Linked DNA regions of Pelodiscus sinensis. The protein of the gene in region 1 purifies or fractionates together with the protein of each later gene. This does not show direct contact. Links are inferred from orthologs where the notes say so. Each region holds a gene or a part of one and is shown on either strand. Other genes may lie near its edges. The genes, in order: CCT4 and TLE2.

Region 1 (8,121 bases):
TGCCAGAAGCTAGGAATGGGAAATGAGAGAGGGATCACTTGATGATCATCTGTTCTTTTCATTTCCTTTGGGGGCACCTGGTATTGGCCACTATCAGAAGACAGGATACTGTGCTAATGGAGTTTTGGTCTGACATAGTAGAGCTGTTTCTAGGTATGTTCTTAATAATGAAAGGTATGTTTATCTATGTTAAAACCAAGTTATACAAGGTGGTTAGCTGTACACTCTTGTGTATATAGAATATTAGTGTTGTGGGATGCCCTGTTTAACTATACAGGCAGTCTCCGACTTACGCGGATCCGACTTATGTCGGATCCGCACTTACGAACGGGGCTTTCTCGCCCCGGAGCTCGCAGGCAGTGGTCCGCCACCTCGACCTCCAGGGCAAGAAAAGCTGCTCCTGGTGCCCCTGGTCTGCTGGGGACCGTCTCCAACAGACCAGGGGCACCGGTAGCAAAGCCGCAGCAGCGGCGGGTCCCGCGCCAGAGCAAAGCCTCAGAGGCGAGGAACCCCGCCGCTGCGGCTTTGCTCCCCGTGTCCCTGGTCTGCTGGGGGGGGGGGGGGGCGCAGCTAGTGTGCCCCCCCCCAGCAGACCAGGCTTTTGTTGTGGACCCTGGGGCCAGAGCAGCTGGGGCGCTGCCGGTTGGTCCCGCAGCGTCGCTCTGGGCACTACTGGACCAACCCGGCAGCACCCCAGCTGCTCTGCCCGAGGCGTCCTGATTCAGCCGCTGCTGGTCAGTTTCAGCAGCGGCTGAATCAGGACGCCTGGGGCAGAGCAGCTGGGGTGCTGCTGGGTTGGTCCAGTAGCGCCAAGGAGCGGCGCTACTGGAGCAACCCAGCAGCACCCAAGCTGCTCTGCCCCAGGCGTCCCCAAGTCAGCCGCTGCTGAAACTGACCAGCGCTGACTACAGGAAGCCCGAGGCACAGTTGCTCTGCCCTGGGCTTCCTGGAATCAGCGGCTGATCAGTTTCAGCAGCAACTGACTTGGGGTTCTTAAGTTGAATCTGTATGTCAGTCAGAACTGGCGGTCAGTTTCAGCAGCGGCTGAATCTGGACTCCAGTTCCGACTTACATACAGATTTAGCTTAAGAACAAACCTACAGTCCCTATCTTGTACGTAACCCGGGGACTGCCTGTATACAACTTGAGTGTGTCGATCAAAAAAGTCCAAAAGCAAGAGAAATTTATGATGCAATGTGTAATCCAGAATTTAAAGCCTACCTGCTATTTTTGAAATATGTTTTGGATTACATGAACAAATTCAATGCTCTCTTTCAAAGCAAATCTCCACTCATTCATTGCACTAAACCAGCACACCAGGGAGACGCGGAGCAGCTTTTCTCGCCCCGGAGGACGCGAGCGGCGGGACCGCGGCGCATCTGGGCGTCCCGCCGCTCCCGTCCTCCGGGGTGAGAAAAGCCCCGTTCGTAACTGTGGATCCGACATAAGTCGGATCCGACATAAGTCGGGGACTGCCTGTACTTTGAAAAGTTTCACTGACTCTGGTTTAATGCAATGAATGAGTGGAGATTTGCTTTGAAAGAGAGCATTGAATTTGTTCATGTAATCCAAAACATATTTCAAAAATAGCAGGTAGGCTTTAAATTCTGGATTACACATTGCATCATATATTTATCTTGCTTTTGGACTTTTTTGTTCGACACACTCATGTTGTATATAGTTAAACAGGGAGCCCCCCCACAGCAGACCAGGGAGACGCGGAGCAAAGCCGCGGAGGATGCGGGCGGGACCGCGGTGCGTCTCGGCGGTCCCGCTACCCGCGTCTCCCTGGTCTGCTGGGGGGGGCGCAGCTAGTGCACCTCCCCCTGCAAGACCAGGCTTTTCTTGCCGACGACGCCTAGGGTAGAGCAGCTGGGGTGCTGCCAGGTTGGTCCCGCAGCGCCGCTCCTCGGCGCTACTGGACCAAACCGGCAGCACCCCAGCTGCTCTGCCCCAGGCGTCCCCAAGTCAGCCGCTGCTGAAACTGACCAGCGGCTGACTACAGGAAGCCAGAGGCAGAGTTGCTCTGCCCCGGCTTCCTGGAATCAGCCGCTGATCAGTATCAGCAGCGGCTGACTTGGGGACACCTGGGGTAGAGCAGCTGGGGTCCTGCTGGGTTGGTCCCCGCAGCGCTGAGGTGCGGCGCTGCGGGGACCTACCCGGCAGCACCCCAGCTGCTCTGTCCCAGGCGTCCAAATTCAGCCGCTGTTGAAACTGATCAGCGGCTGACTCCAGGAAGCCCAGGGCAGAGCAACTCTGCCTCGAGCTTCCTGTCGTCAGCCGCTGGTTGGTTTCAGCTGCGGCTGAATCTGGACGCCAGTTCCGACTTACATACAAATTCAACTTAAGAACAAACCTACAGTCCCTATCTTGTATGTAACCCGGGGACTGCCTGTAATTGCAACAAATTACTTAAAACCACATTTCCTAAAAGGTGAATTAACAAAAGTTAATATGTCACATCCCTCTAATTTTATCAAAATTAATGAAATATATACTGGTCCAGAGTGTGAGGAGTACTTAAAATGTATTGATCCTAGTGTAGCTCTGAATGTAAGAAAAGTGATTCAGCATTATTACATCACTTGTTGTCAAGAAATGTAGCACAGGCTACCACTTGACTCAGTTGTTTTCTCAGAGGTTGGATTTATAGATCCTAAAATTTGTCTTAATGTTGATGTAGATAAAGAAAAAAAAAGATATCTCAAAACTTTGTGCAATATTTAAGATAGATGTGAACTCAGAGCCTTGTCATTTTCTTTAGAATCAAATCAAATTGAATGTGTAAAGAATAAGCCTATCGATGCAATGTGGCATGAAATTTCTAAAATGAAACATTTTTCTGGAAAATTTATGTTTTCAAACATTCATAAATCAGCTCAAAAGGTTTTAGCATTGCCACATTCAAATGCAGAATGTGAGAGAATTTTTTCAATGGTTACAGACATTAAAACTAAGAAAAGGAGTAACATGAAAACTAAAACACTTAATTCTAGTGTAATTGTCAGATCAGCTTTTAAAGCAAAAAAAAAAATGTTCTAGTTTTGTAATTACAAATAAGCATTTACATTTACATAATAAAAATACAGTAGACTTCCGATAATCCAGAACCTTTGGGACCAAGGTGGTGCCAGATTATTGGATATGCCGGACTATCAGGCGGTACTATAAACTGGTTTTAAATATATATATATATATATATACACACACACACACACACACAGACACTGTATACCAGTGGTCCCCAACCTTTAGAGGCTCCCTGGCGCCCGGGGGCGGGGCCACTCGCGCTGGGTGCCCGGGGGCGGAGCCGCGCATCCTGGGGCACACCAGGGGTAGGGATGCCCTTGCACTGGGCGCCGGCATGTGCCCCAGGGCCGGTGCCGCCCGAGCGCCTTGTGCCGTGGGCCCGGATGTGCCCCGGGGCTGGAGCCGCCCGAGCGCCACGCACCAGGTGCCGGTGCGTGTCGCTCGCCTGGGGCCGGCGCCTCCAGTGCGCCGCACGCCGGGGATGGGCCGACCCAGGTTGTCGGCGGGCACACAGAAATGCCTCGGCGGGCGCCATGGCGCCCGCGGGCACTGCGTTGGGGACCACTGCTGTATACAGTATATACTGTATATAAAGTGTTTTAACCCTTTTTATTGTGCATACTGTATATAATATACTGTAATGTTTTAGTTTTTTTAACCCTTTTCACTCGGTTCAGCTGCTTCCTTGAGGAGTTTTCTGCTGAAGCTCACTCACTAGGCTCTTGCCATTTTGATGCCGGATTATCAGGAGTGCCGTACAATTGGATGCCGGACTATTGGAGTTTTACTGTATGTACAAATATGGATATGCCAGAAAAACTGGCAGTCAGACTGATAAAAATATTAATGGTGATGACATTTCTAGTGAGGAGTCGAGTCATGACTCATCTGATGAGTAAAACTCATCGTGATAGTTAAGTATTATGTATTAAATATTCTATTCATTTTATATGAAACGAAAATCTTTTATATTTGAAGTGTTCCTTTATTTATCATATATAACTGAAATGTATTCTGAAGTGTATACTGTACTGATTTTACCTTGAGTAAAATAATTAAAATGTTTTATTATTCTTTCATTTTATGAAATACCATCCATGAAGTAATTAAGGATATTTGGATATATAAAAATAATTATTTTTGGATGAAAAGTTCAGCTTTAATAACATTATATTTTTAATTATAAAGAGCATCATAAAATCATCTAAATTATTGTCATATATTTCGAGTTAATTATATATATATATATATATAAAACAAATGAATTAACTATACATAAAATAGCCTTTATAACATATACAATTAATATGGGAATTTTTCATCAGATTTGAGAAATTTTTAGCGCTGGCCTGGGAAAAGTTGGCAACACGATATCGAACCGCTGCCCAGCTCTGCCGACGCTAGGGAAAGGTGCGAGCGCAGCATTGCGCGGACAAGAGAGCCGCAGTCTGCTCAGCGAGCCTGGGGGCGAGACCCCACCCCAAGCTGCTGCTGCTCCCGGGAAAGTGGGGCGCTGCGAGCGGGCGCCTGAGAGCACTTGCACCGCCTCAGAGCGGGCCGGTCCGCCCCCCAGCTCATCCCTCCCGCCCCGCCCCGGGCACTCCGCGCAGACCGTTCCAGCCGCTCAGGGACCCATCGGAGTCGGGCCGTTCGCTCCTGAGAGATTCCCCTCCCGCCGCGCACACTCTGCACGAGCCGCGCTGCCAGCCGGCTCAGGACACCCGCGCGCTCAGCACTTCCCATAGCGGACAAAGCCCCGCCTCGCAAGATGGCCGCGCCGGCCCCGCCTCGCGCAGACCGTTGTCCCCGGCCTATCGGCCGGCGAGCGCGGCCCTAATGACGTCACTCGCGGCGTCAGTTCGTTCCTCCCCTTTCGCCTGCGGGTGGCTCTGACGGGCCGGGAGGCGCAGGCTGAGGCGGTGCGTTCTGGAAGCTTCGCGGCGGGGATCGTTAGCGCGGGCCGGCCCGGTTCATCCGTCTCCATCCGGGACTTAGACGCAGCGAGGCGCCGGGGAACCGACATGCCGGAGAACGCGGGGCCCAGAGCCCTCCCGGGTGGCAACGGAGGCCGTAAAAGAAGCGCCTACCAGGACCGGGACAAGCCGGCGCAAATCCGCTTCAGCAACATCTCTGCCGGCAAAGGTGCGCCCGGCCCGACTGATGAAAGGGACCGAAAAAAAAATCTCTGTCAGGGCGGAAGGGGGGGGGGGGTCGGGGGATCGGTGGCGGCCTCTGTCTCGCCCGCGGTCCTGTTCCTCCTGCCGTTGTGCGGGGAAGCGCGAGGCGGCGGCTTCTTCCTACAGTGACCCCCCCTCCCTTCAGTCCCATAGTCGTGGGGGGTGAAGACTCCATCACACACACAGACCCTGCCCCCACCCCACCCCACCCCACCAGCGGGCCGGACGCCTTCGTGGAGGGTGAATTCTAGACAGTCGTCCCCCCAGGCTCCATCACTGCATCAGCTACAGCCGCTGCTGGAGACGTTTCTTCCTTTTAGCTAACACCGCATGGGCCTTGTCTGCAGGGGAGAGAGTGTTCTCTGCAAACCCTCCCCCCCCCCCCCATTTTTTCTAGGTTTTTTTTTTTAATGTAGTAACTGTTATGGTGCTAAGACCAAAATCTGGTGGGGAAGGGACTGTAATTGGCAGTTGTCATAAGGCCTGATCATTTTACCGGGGCAGAAGGCATTGAAATTTGAAATGTAAATAACACTTTAAAATTATATAGTGAAAGGGTTAACTTTTTAATTGGGATTAAGACAGTCTGCTGCAGGTGGCAGGTCTGCTCCAACCAGTTAACTGTTTCCCAGGTAAACGTGGGTGTGGCTAATTACCAAGTAACAGGGTTTACTTTTTACATCCTTAATTGAAATTCACTATGAGACCAGTGAAACCACTCAGCATTTTTAAATCTGTGTGGCTTATAATACCATTAATACCTCATTGGATTTGAAAATACTTCATTCACATAATCAGCTATTGATTGTCTTTAACATATTCCTGGTGTTAGAATTAGCCATGAAAGCCATGCACTTTATTTTTCTTAAAATTTTTTATGCTATATCAGTAAATTTGTCCTTGATAAGATTATTAAATAGTGATGCAGACAAACTTGTGTGGGAGCCATTTAAAGTTTTCTGTCCTTTTCTATACAGAAAAAACTATGTTCAGACTTGCAGTATTAATTTAGATGCTAATAAAATATACAAAAACTTGTAAAGTTGAATGTTAGTAACTAATTGCATAAAATAATTTCATTTTTACTCCTCCTTCAGCGGTTGCTGATGCTATTAGAACAAGTCTTGGACCAAAAGGAATGGATAAAATGGTAAGCTTTGAGATAAGTGCTTGAATATTTTAAAAACATATTATAAATACGTAAACAAATTTCAAAGTTTTCTTATAAGAATAGTTTTCTTTTGGGTTTTTTAATTTGCTAATCACAAAGGTGTAACTTCTAGTTACGTGCACATGATTATTGTTGGAAAAGATAATACATTGAAACTTTAGTACTAATATTCCCTTTGGTTTAAAGGAAATATCGGGTAGTTTATGACTCTTTAACATAGAATCATAGAATACTAGAACTGGAAGGGACTTTGAGAGATCAAGTCCAATCTCCTGCCTTCATGGCCAGACCAACACTGATCTAGATGGTGCTATCCCAACTGGTGAAGAGCTGGCATTCCCCTACCCCCTCTTAAAGAGACAGAGCCATGGCGGGAATCATGGCAGCGGGGCGCTTTTTTTTTTTCCCCTCTTGATGAAACGCAGCCCTAGGGCAGTGGTCCCCAACCTTTCGGGGCCGCCTGCGCGTCCGGGGACGGCCCAGATGATTCAGCAGGTGCGCACAAATGCCTCAGCGGGTGCCATGGTGCCCATGTGCATCACATTGGGGACCACTGCCTTGGGATTCTGTGGCCAAATAAAATTGGGAAACACTGATCTAGATCATCCCTGATAGATGTCTATCTAACCTGCTCTTAAATATCCTCCATTGATGGAAATTCCATAACCTCCCTAAGTCCACCCTAAACCTCCTTTGCTGCACTTTAAGCCCATTGCTTCTTGTCCTATCATCAGAGACCAAAGAGAACAATTTTCCCCCTTCCTCCCTGTGACACCCTTTTAGATGCCTGAAAACCGCTAAATAAATGTCTTGTGTAACTAAGGTCATAAGTATGTATAGTATTTAATTTCTATTTTAGATTCAAGATGGAAAAGGAGATGTGACAATTACAAATGATGGAGCAACTATTCTAAAACAAATGCAGGTTCTGCATCCTGCAGCTAAAATGGTAAATTACTTTTAATATCAACCTGTAAACCAACCTAGATTGCAGAGAACTCTTAAGGAGGCAGTGGTAGAAGTGATGGGCAACATAGACTTCATGAAAGGCTCTCCATCTCAGTGAGCAGCAAGATTGTTGTAACCAAGATGGTCTGCTGGGTTAGGATAGTTGTGCTAATTGCATTTGCATACCTGGAATTTGTGGGGTGTACTGATTGAACTCTAGCAGCACTTTGATGGGATGCAGAAGGAGCGCATGGCTTTTACAGTCAATGTTGTGTGCATGTGGTATACACTTCTGTTCATATGCCCTTTATGTGCATACCACTTAAGTAATAACAGTAAGTAAAAAAATATACACAGACAGAAACCCGCAAAATCTGGCAACCTTGCACATGAACTGTGTAATCAAAGTGTCTTGTGGGCCCCACACATAGAACCCTGATGGACCACATGCCCATCACTGATTCTGGGCATTTACATAGGAGGGAGGGAGGGAGAGAGAGAGAGAGAGAGAGTGTGTGTGTGTGTGTGTGTGTGTATTTTTGCAGCACAGCAAGTCTGCGATGCACTGGGGTTCTGGCTTTGATGTTTTTTCTATAGACTGGGGGAGAGAGCCTGAAAATCCAAACTTCAAGTAATGGTTTGAGTGTAACGCAATACAAGTTTGCCACAGAAAATGCCACAGAAAATGTTATGGAGGATGCTTAGATGCTGATTATCTGACAGTAAAATAGGCACCCTCACTGTTATTCCCTTCATAATGTCAATGGGTTACTGTTATACCTTGAGAGACACACT
Region 2 (8,007 bases), on another chromosome or scaffold:
CAGCTCTGGGAAGAGAGTGGGTTTAGTGATTAGAACAGAAAGGCAGAGAGCCAGGACTCCTGGGTTCATTTTATTTCTAGCTCTGGGAGGGAAGCAGAATTGTCTAGTGGTTAGAACATGGGGGCCTCTTGGGTTCTGTCCTGAGCTCTACTCCTCACTCACTCACTGCCTCATGTACCCAGGAAGAGTAGTAATCCTTCCCTGCCTCCCATGGGTGCTGCAATGCTTAATTGATTCAAGTGCTCCCCTGCCAAAGGGCTTTAGGGAAGAGTGGAGTTTTGTTATTCCAAGAGCTGAAACTGGCGGAGAGGAGCAGGGAGCGGCAGGGCTTTGACAGCCCTGTGCGTTTCCGTATCAGCCCCGCTTTTGAGCCCTGAACACAGTTTTAATTGGACAGCCATCCTCAGGAATTCCGCGGTTGGTTAGCAGTGGCAGTAAAAGGTTTGTTGCGTATTAGCTGGGTGCCAAGCCAAGTGTGGTTAATACCCTGAAATCCTGGGAATTTACTGTGGTCAGGAGCGTTTGGGGGGACGGTGTCGACAATACGTCCCACGCAGTTGCTGCCTTACGGGAGCCATTTTCCTAATTGCAGCATTTAGGTTTGCAGCGAAACATGCAAAACAAATGAAATCATCCTTTGGAATTTTTTGGCCAAAATTCTAGCACTTTGGGGTTTGTTTGGTTTTTGTTTCCATAGGGTTACCCCTCACACCCTTGTCTCTGTCCTTGATGGAAAAACAAGGCCTGCTGAAACCCAGTGAATAATCGTCATGCAGCACATCTGCCACTCTCAGTGCATCCATATTATCTTCTTTTCACAGCTGGGGAAATTGAGGCAAAGGGACACACCAAAGGAGATTAGCAAATTGGTGGCAGTGCCCAGAAGAGGACTCAGGAGACCTCTGGCTGCCTCCTAACACTGATATCAAACTGGCACTGCTAAGGGCCACCACTGTCCAACAACCATGCTTCACAACTACAGCAGCCACACAAACACAGCCACCTCTGGGGTGTAGCACAGACGCTGGCCCATAGCACGCTACACAATCCTGAGAGGAAAGTGATAGAAATGTAGCCGTGTTAGTCTGGGGTAGCTGAAGCAAAATGCAGGACAATGTAGCACTTTAAAGACTAACAAGATGGTTTATTAGATGATGAGCTTTCGTGGGCCAGACCCACTTCCTCAGATCTGATCTGAGGAAGTGGGTCTGGCCCACGAAAGCTCATCATCTAATAAACCATCTTGTTAGTCTTTAAAGTGCTACATAGTCCTGCATTTTGCTGAGAGGAAAGAACTTTTTTATTTTCTGGGCTGGGCAGAGGGGGAGACGCTGTTCTTATGAGCCAAGCAACTTGAGGATCATAGAATCAAAGGGCTGGAAGAGAGAGACCTCAGGAGGTCGAGTCCAAGTCCCTACTAAAACAGGACCCATCCCAACTCAATCATCCCAGCCAGGGCTTTGTCAAGCCAGGGCTTAAAAACCTCTAGGGATGGAGATTCCACCCCCTCCCCAGGGAACCCAGCCCAGTGCTCCCCCACCCTCCTAGGGAAATAACACCTTTAACATCCCTGCAAATGGGACAAGCTTTGCTGCTGAGTGGAATTTGGGCTGTGATGGCCCAGCAGCAGGGGCTGGAATTTGCAGTGTTCTCAGGAGCCTGCTGCTCCGACGGCGTCCCCCAAAGGTGGCTCTGTCTTTGGGGCCGTTGGGGCGGAAGGTGCAGAACTTGGCTGGGGTTCACTCTCAGAGGGGAAGAGCGGCCCTAGCTCTGTTTGTGGCTCACTCTGCTGTGGGCTGAGGGAGCTGGCGTGTGTGTGTCTGCCGAGGCCCCCATGGTGATGGAAGGTGCTGCTGTGTTAAAGATATGTGCTCCTCTCTGGAAAGCCTGATTCATGGCCAGCAGGAAAGCCTTGCTCAGTTAGATCAATGTGCTGTAATTATACCAGCCAGCCACTTCGGGTGGGGTGGTGAGGAGGGAGCAGGGCCCCACGTTACTTTGATTGACAGGGCAGAGGAGCTAGGCGCAGGAGCTTGTGGGCAATGTAGTTTGTAGTTGCTCTGCACTTTGGGGTGGCTGGAACAGCCAGGGGTTGAAGATCAGGGCATTAATTTGCTTGCCAAGGGGGAGGAGGGGAGGACAGCTGGTGCAGGCATGGAGCAAGGACAGCCCTGACCCCAAAGATCTGCCCGTCAGGGGGCAAGCTAGGGAGGAGATTAAGGACCCTGGTCCCTGTCAATAAATCATAATCCCTAGCTCTTATCTAGCACTTTCCAGCTGCATCTCTCCCGTCACTTTACAAAGAGGGTCAGGATCCTTCTCCTCCTTTTGCAGCCAGGGAAGCTGAGGCATGAGCCAAAAGCTCCTAGTTGCCCCCACCGCCTTACTCCAGAAGGATACACATGCCCCAGGGGCATAGTTTGGGGGAGCACAGGCATGTTGCTGCCCCTGCAAAAATGCAAGCCCCTGATGGGGTGGAATTTGCTGCTCCCCACACGGCCCCATTGGCTTGCCTGGAGCTCCCCCAATAGAGAAGTCGAAGTCGGCCTACGCCAGGCCCTGGGGGTGAGCGAGTGGTCCGCGCTGCCTTCGCCCAAAGGCTGGGAAGCAGTGATCCGGTCCCCAGTCTGTCTAAGCAGGATGCTGCCTTGGGCGGTGACAGCAACTCACAACGGAGTAGGGAAGGATGCTTGAAAAAAGCGGGAGGGGGGACTTGAGAGCCCCAGTCTGTGCAGCCTACGGCTGCCAATAAACTAACTCTGGAACTCTGGGAGCTGCCCCAAGAGGCAGGTGCTGGGGGGTGGGGTGGACTACAAATCCCAGCCTGCCCGAGCTATTCCCTCCCCTACCCCAAGCTCACTTCTGTTTATCCTCCAGCTTCTCTGGCTCCTGATTAGCCTCTGAAGCCTTTGACATCATAGACCCATGTGGGAACTGGCGGGGCCGATTGGCTGGGGCGCCCAGCCAGCTGCAGCCAATGGAAGCTGGTCCCCAGTAGCAAAGGCTGCAAAGCTGTTTAAGGTGGACCTAGGGGCTGGTTTGTGCACCAGCATGAAGGCTCGGGTGTAATAATAATAATAATAATTAATGGTGATCCTGGGGGGAGGGGGGGGCTTTTGGAAGCTTCTGCTTCAGGAATGATCAGGCCTTTCCCAGTTTTTCGGGAGCCTGGGAAAACCCGGCTGCACTGTTGCCTCCCGGCCTAATAATCAGCAGCTGTGGTTTCAGGGGACTCTCCTGTTGGAATCACTCTAACGCAGGGAGACATTGTTCTTCCAACCGTTCCAACAGGAGGCGCTGTAGGGAATGGGGCGGGAGTGCTGGCTGGGCCTGGCTCTGACCCTGCCAGCAGGAGGCGCTGTAGAAAAGGGTGTAAGAGAGATGGGGCAGGTCTGATGGGTGTAGGAGAGCTGGGAGCAGACATGATGGGTGTAGGAGAGATGGGGCAGGTCTGATGGGTGTAGGAGAGATGGGAGCAGACATGATGGGTGTAGGAGAGCTGGGGCAGGTCTGATGGGTGTAGGAGAGATGGGGCAGGTCTGATGGGTGTAGGAGAGCTGGGAGCAGACATGATGGGTGTAGGAGAGATGGGGCAGGTCTGATGGGTGTAGGAGAGATGGGGCAGGTCTGATGGGTGTAGGAGAGATGGGAGCAGACATGATGGGTGTAGGAGAGATGGGGCAGATGTGATGGGTGGAGGAGAACTTTGCTCTGTATGAATCATGCTATAAAGCCATGTGGGGAGCCGCGCTGGTCTGCTCCCTGCAGGAGGTGCTGGGAGGAATGGGATCAGTGGGGTAGGTGCCTTCCTACCACCAAAACCAGCTCCTAGTTTTTCTCCTTTCTCTCCATGGAAACCAGTCCTGGCAGCAGCTCAGGGCCTGGGGAACACAGTAGCCTGGCTTGGATCACTGGGTCAAACAGAGATTCTAACCCTGAATATATTTGATGAGTATAGATTTATGACGCCTTTATTGCAGAGCACACAGTGCGTGCTGCTCCCTGTGCCCAGGGTCAAGCCAGGGGCTAGCGCCAAGCGGCTGTGTAGCTCTGCTGTCCAAAGGGCCAGGAAGAACGAACCCAAGTAGATGGAGGCACCGCGGGCCCCAAGAGGGCAATGCTTATTGAGGTTGGTTTCATTTGGGTCTGGGGGAGGGGGCTTTCACCCAGGCCCCTTCAGATCTGGGCCCACCTGTCTGAGGCACTGGCGGAGGGGTCGAGTCCAGCAAATCCGCTTTATAGCACGGGGCTCCGCAGCCGCAGATGTGCATGCAGAGTGCCGCGACTCATTTTTGCAGATACAGATGTGGATACAAATTTGTACCCATGCAGGGCTCTACGGGGGGGCAGCCTGGGTCCCTGTGGCCATGGAAGATCCCAGCAGTCAGTAGGGTGGGAGAACTCCAGGGGGGAGAGTCTGGGGGCAGAGGAGAAGGAAGAAAATGTTGGGGCACAGAGGAAGGACAAGGAAGGGGCCTGAGACCGGCGGGTGTGCCCAGGGCATGAGGGAGGGGAATATTTAGGGGGTCCCCATTGTTATCTGAATGCAGCCCAGCCCCACACTTGAAGGGGGGCCATGCAGGGATAGAGCAGAGCCAGATGGGAGCTGAAGAGCCCTTAGGACATGAAAGGTCAATGAGGCGGTTGACCCTCCCCCCCCATTTTGGCCAAGCAACCTGGAGACTGAGTCGGCCAGTCGGCTGCAACCCACCCTCCCCGGCCCAGCAGGATGTGGGGGTGCTGGTAGGGAAGTGGGAGCAGCTGCTTCCCTCAGTTCAGTTAGCCTGGGGGGGGTCGCTCTCCCAGGCCTTGCTGCCCTCCGGCACCTCTAGAGGGTGGGAAGCATCCCTGGTGTGGCTCCCAGAGCCGTGGGCAAAGCCCCTGGTGCCACCTCCTGCCGAGAAAGAGCCACCTTAAGGATCCAGTTCGACAGACTCCCCTACTCTCCCTTTGCCTTGCCAGGAGGCAGTTTTCATTCTAGCCAGGGACCGCTGTTGAAATCCGGCCAGATTTTCTACTGACCTTCTGTTCCTGCTGGTTCTTTTTCTTTTCTTTTTTTTCCCTTTGGCGCTTTAAGACAGATTGTATTTCCCCCAGCCCTGTGTCCGATGGGGGGGCTGAAGCAACCCGGACCAGTACGACCCACTGGGGAGGAAGCCTCGCGCCCCTTTCACCCGACGGAAATGTTCTTCACCCCGGCTGAGCCGTACCCACAACAATAAATAATTTTATTTAAAAACAAATCCGAGGAAGATTCCAATATCCGGCCATCCCTCCCTGAGACAAGATTTCCTCGCCCTCTTGATCTCCCGGGGACCGGCGGCTTTTGGAGAAGTTAAAAAAGAAGCGGGGCTGGGGAGGGAAAAGAGAGTGGCCTCTCTCCTCCGGTGGGCGTCAGTTTTGGGCAAGCCCCCCAGGATGTACCCACAAGGACGGCACCCTGTAAGTACCATCCTGTGCTCCGGGCCGGCTGGGGAAAGCCAGGAGCTGGGCTGGATTCTGGCATGGGGCAGGGGCAGGGGCAGTCCTTGGGCCGTGAGCTAAGGGAGGGGAGGGCAGTGCATTGGCGATGGGGTGGGTGGCAGCAGCGTTGTGTCTGATCTCCCCCTGCTCTGCGCTCTAGACTCCGCTTCAGTCTGGGCAGCCCTTCAAGTTCTCGATTTTGGAAATCTGCGACCGGATTAAGGAAGAATTCCAGTTCCTGCAGGCTCAGTATCACAGGTGACTGACGGGGAGTATGGGGGGCAGGTGAGGGACACAGCCAGACAGGTGTCTAGGATCCCAGGTAAAAGGAGAGATTGAGGCAGTGGTGTCTAGGTTTACATGGGGGGTGTTCTGTGGGTCACAGGTATGGCAGGAGTATGAGGCATGGCTGGGCACACACCTGTCAGGGTGGGGGGGCTCTGGAGGGTTTTTGGGTCACAGCTCAGGGAAAGGGCAGGTAGTTTGCACAAGGAGCCAGAGGGATGTCAGGAGAGCACCGAGCTGTGCCCAGGGTCCTAGGGAACGGGGGAAGCAGCAGCCAGGCTAGACTCGGTGTTACAGGTGCCTAGCGCGGAGGGGAGAGGAGCCGAGGGGAGTGGGGCTGAGGGCTACATTTCTGTCCTGCCGAGGGAGCCAGGTGCCAGGACTGAGCCGGTGGTGGCAGCCCTTGGGGGGGGGTCGTGCGTGGCACGGAGTGACTCCCGCAGTAGGGGGGCTGGGGGGAGCTCTGCCCAGTGGCCCTGGGGGCGGAGGTGGAGCAGGCTGCCAAAGAAGGCGGTTCCCTTGCAGCTTGAAGCTGGAATGTGAGAAGCTGGCGAGTGAGAAGACGGAGATGCAGAGACATTATGTCATGGTAAGAGACCCGCCACCTGCCCCTGCACCTCTCTAGGGGGCCTCTTGCCTAGTGGTCATCCCGCTGGGTCAGCTAACAAGCCACTCAGCCTAGGAACTGGCCCCCAAGGGCCACCACTCCTGGCTGAAAGCTGGAGCACTGATGTGCCTCTGGGTGCTCTCCCTGGGGCTGGGGGTGGGGAAGGGCATCGGTCAGGAAGGAGTTAATATCTATTCCTAGCAACGCTTCCTGCTGTCACGTCTGCTGCTGCTTCCCTGGTGCGGTGAGATCCTGGGAATGATGCCATTTTTTAATTTGGCCTCGGCACTATTAACGTCCAGGTGGAGATGGGGGTCGTCAGAAGCCAAATCCCAACCCAAACCCTGGGTCATTTCAGAAAGAACAGCCGGGTGTCCTTCCAAGATGGACTCAGCCAGGGGCTCTGGAAATGGAATCCCATAATTCCGACAAATGGAAGCCGCCTGCTGGAAGGGTCTGGTGGGGTTAGGGCTGAGGTTGGCAAGGGGATAGGGACACAGGACTGCCATGCTGAATTAAACCTGGCATCCCATTCCTGCTCAATATCTTGTCTCGGATGTTACCAGCTGCTTCAGAAGGAGGCTGGTATGCAGTGTTGGGACAGGCTGCCTCCTGGGAAAACTTCCTCCTGACCTCAAAAGCTAGGGGTTGTGCATACCCTGAAGCATAAGGGTTTATTTTCCTTCCAGAATACACATTGGTTTTTTAATTTTTACTGTCGTTCTGGCTTTACTTTCTTATGGGTATGATCCCCTTCCAAATCCTACCAAGTTCTCGGCCTCTGTGACTTCTTGTGGTAAGGAGTTCTGCAGAATAAACGGAGCTTTCGTCCGGAGAAAAGAGTCAGTTCCTGGGACCAGCTTTGAAGTCCTTGGGGATGGTCACACTTTGAGCAGGCGGTTGCGGGAGGTGACCTGCTGAGGTCTCTTCCCACCCATATCTTCTAGGAGTCTGTGAATTCGCCGCCTTTTGTTTCTTTGACTGCTCCTTCGCGTGGGTGTTCCGCCCCCAGGGCCAATCAAAGATCCCGAGCTACTGTCTTGAATCCCTAACGCACCCTCTCCAGACACTCAGCAGCCGGTGCTGTGGCAGGCCCATCAGAATAGGCCCGGGTTAGACTGGGCTGCGGAGTCTGAACACCCCTCCTGGAACAATGCCCCTGGAGCTTGTTCCACGGCTGCCCAGGGAGAGACCCTCAGTCTCCAAGGCTGGTGAACCACTCCCCTGGCCCTGGTTTTGTCCTCCCTACTAAGCTGAATCCTGGTTGTGTGGCCCCTCCCACCTCTGGGGGGCGGGAGGGGGCTTTTGTCCTGTGGGCTCCTCCCACCCTTTCAGAACTGGAGGAGGCCAGTGCCTCGCACCATTCCCTACAACCAGATAGAATTACGAGCGTGCCCCTCTGACAGGCAGAGTAAATCTGGGCCCGATCCCGAGGAAAGCGAAACCCGTCTCTGCAATCGACTGCTGATGGAGTTACACCAGGGCCAGGTTGGCCGGGACGGGTGGAAGCCACGTGGAATAGCTACCGAGGCCGGCTGGTAACTATTGGTTGTCAAGTGGCAAATGGGGAGTTCTAACCGGTTGTGTTCTGGTTTACTTTCAGTACTACGAAATGTCCTATGGGCTGAACATCGAAATGCACAAGCAGGTAA

What was found.
Region 2: the proteins of CCT4 (region 1) and TLE2 purify together in Homo sapiens (affinity purification with mass spectrometry; 3 studies listed by BioGRID and IntAct, with this or other methods). This does not show direct contact. The link is inferred for Pelodiscus sinensis from reciprocal best matches to the Homo sapiens genes CCT4 and TLE2.

Annotation. Positions count from the first base shown.
Region 1 is NC_134713.1:180,784,943-180,793,063, reverse strand, and holds the start of CCT4 (T-complex protein 1 subunit delta), read left to right. Parts: upstream 1-4,888; 5' UTR 4,889-5,051; coding exon 5,052-5,172; intron 5,173-6,304; coding exon 6,305-6,357; intron 6,358-7,237; coding exon 7,238-7,327; intron 7,328-8,121. UniProt on the Homo sapiens protein: Component of the chaperonin-containing T-complex (TRiC), a molecular chaperone complex that assists the folding of actin, tubulin and other proteins upon ATP hydrolysis.
Region 2 is NC_134729.1:15,421,748-15,429,754, forward strand, and holds the start of TLE2 (transducin-like enhancer protein 2), read left to right. Parts: upstream 1-4,949; 5' UTR 4,950-5,418; coding exon 5,419-5,442; intron 5,443-5,623; coding exon 5,624-5,721; intron 5,722-6,273; coding exon 6,274-6,337; intron 6,338-7,807; exon of another isoform or gene 7,808-7,822; coding exon of another isoform or gene 7,823-7,843; intron 7,844-7,958; coding exon 7,959-8,003; intron 8,004-8,007.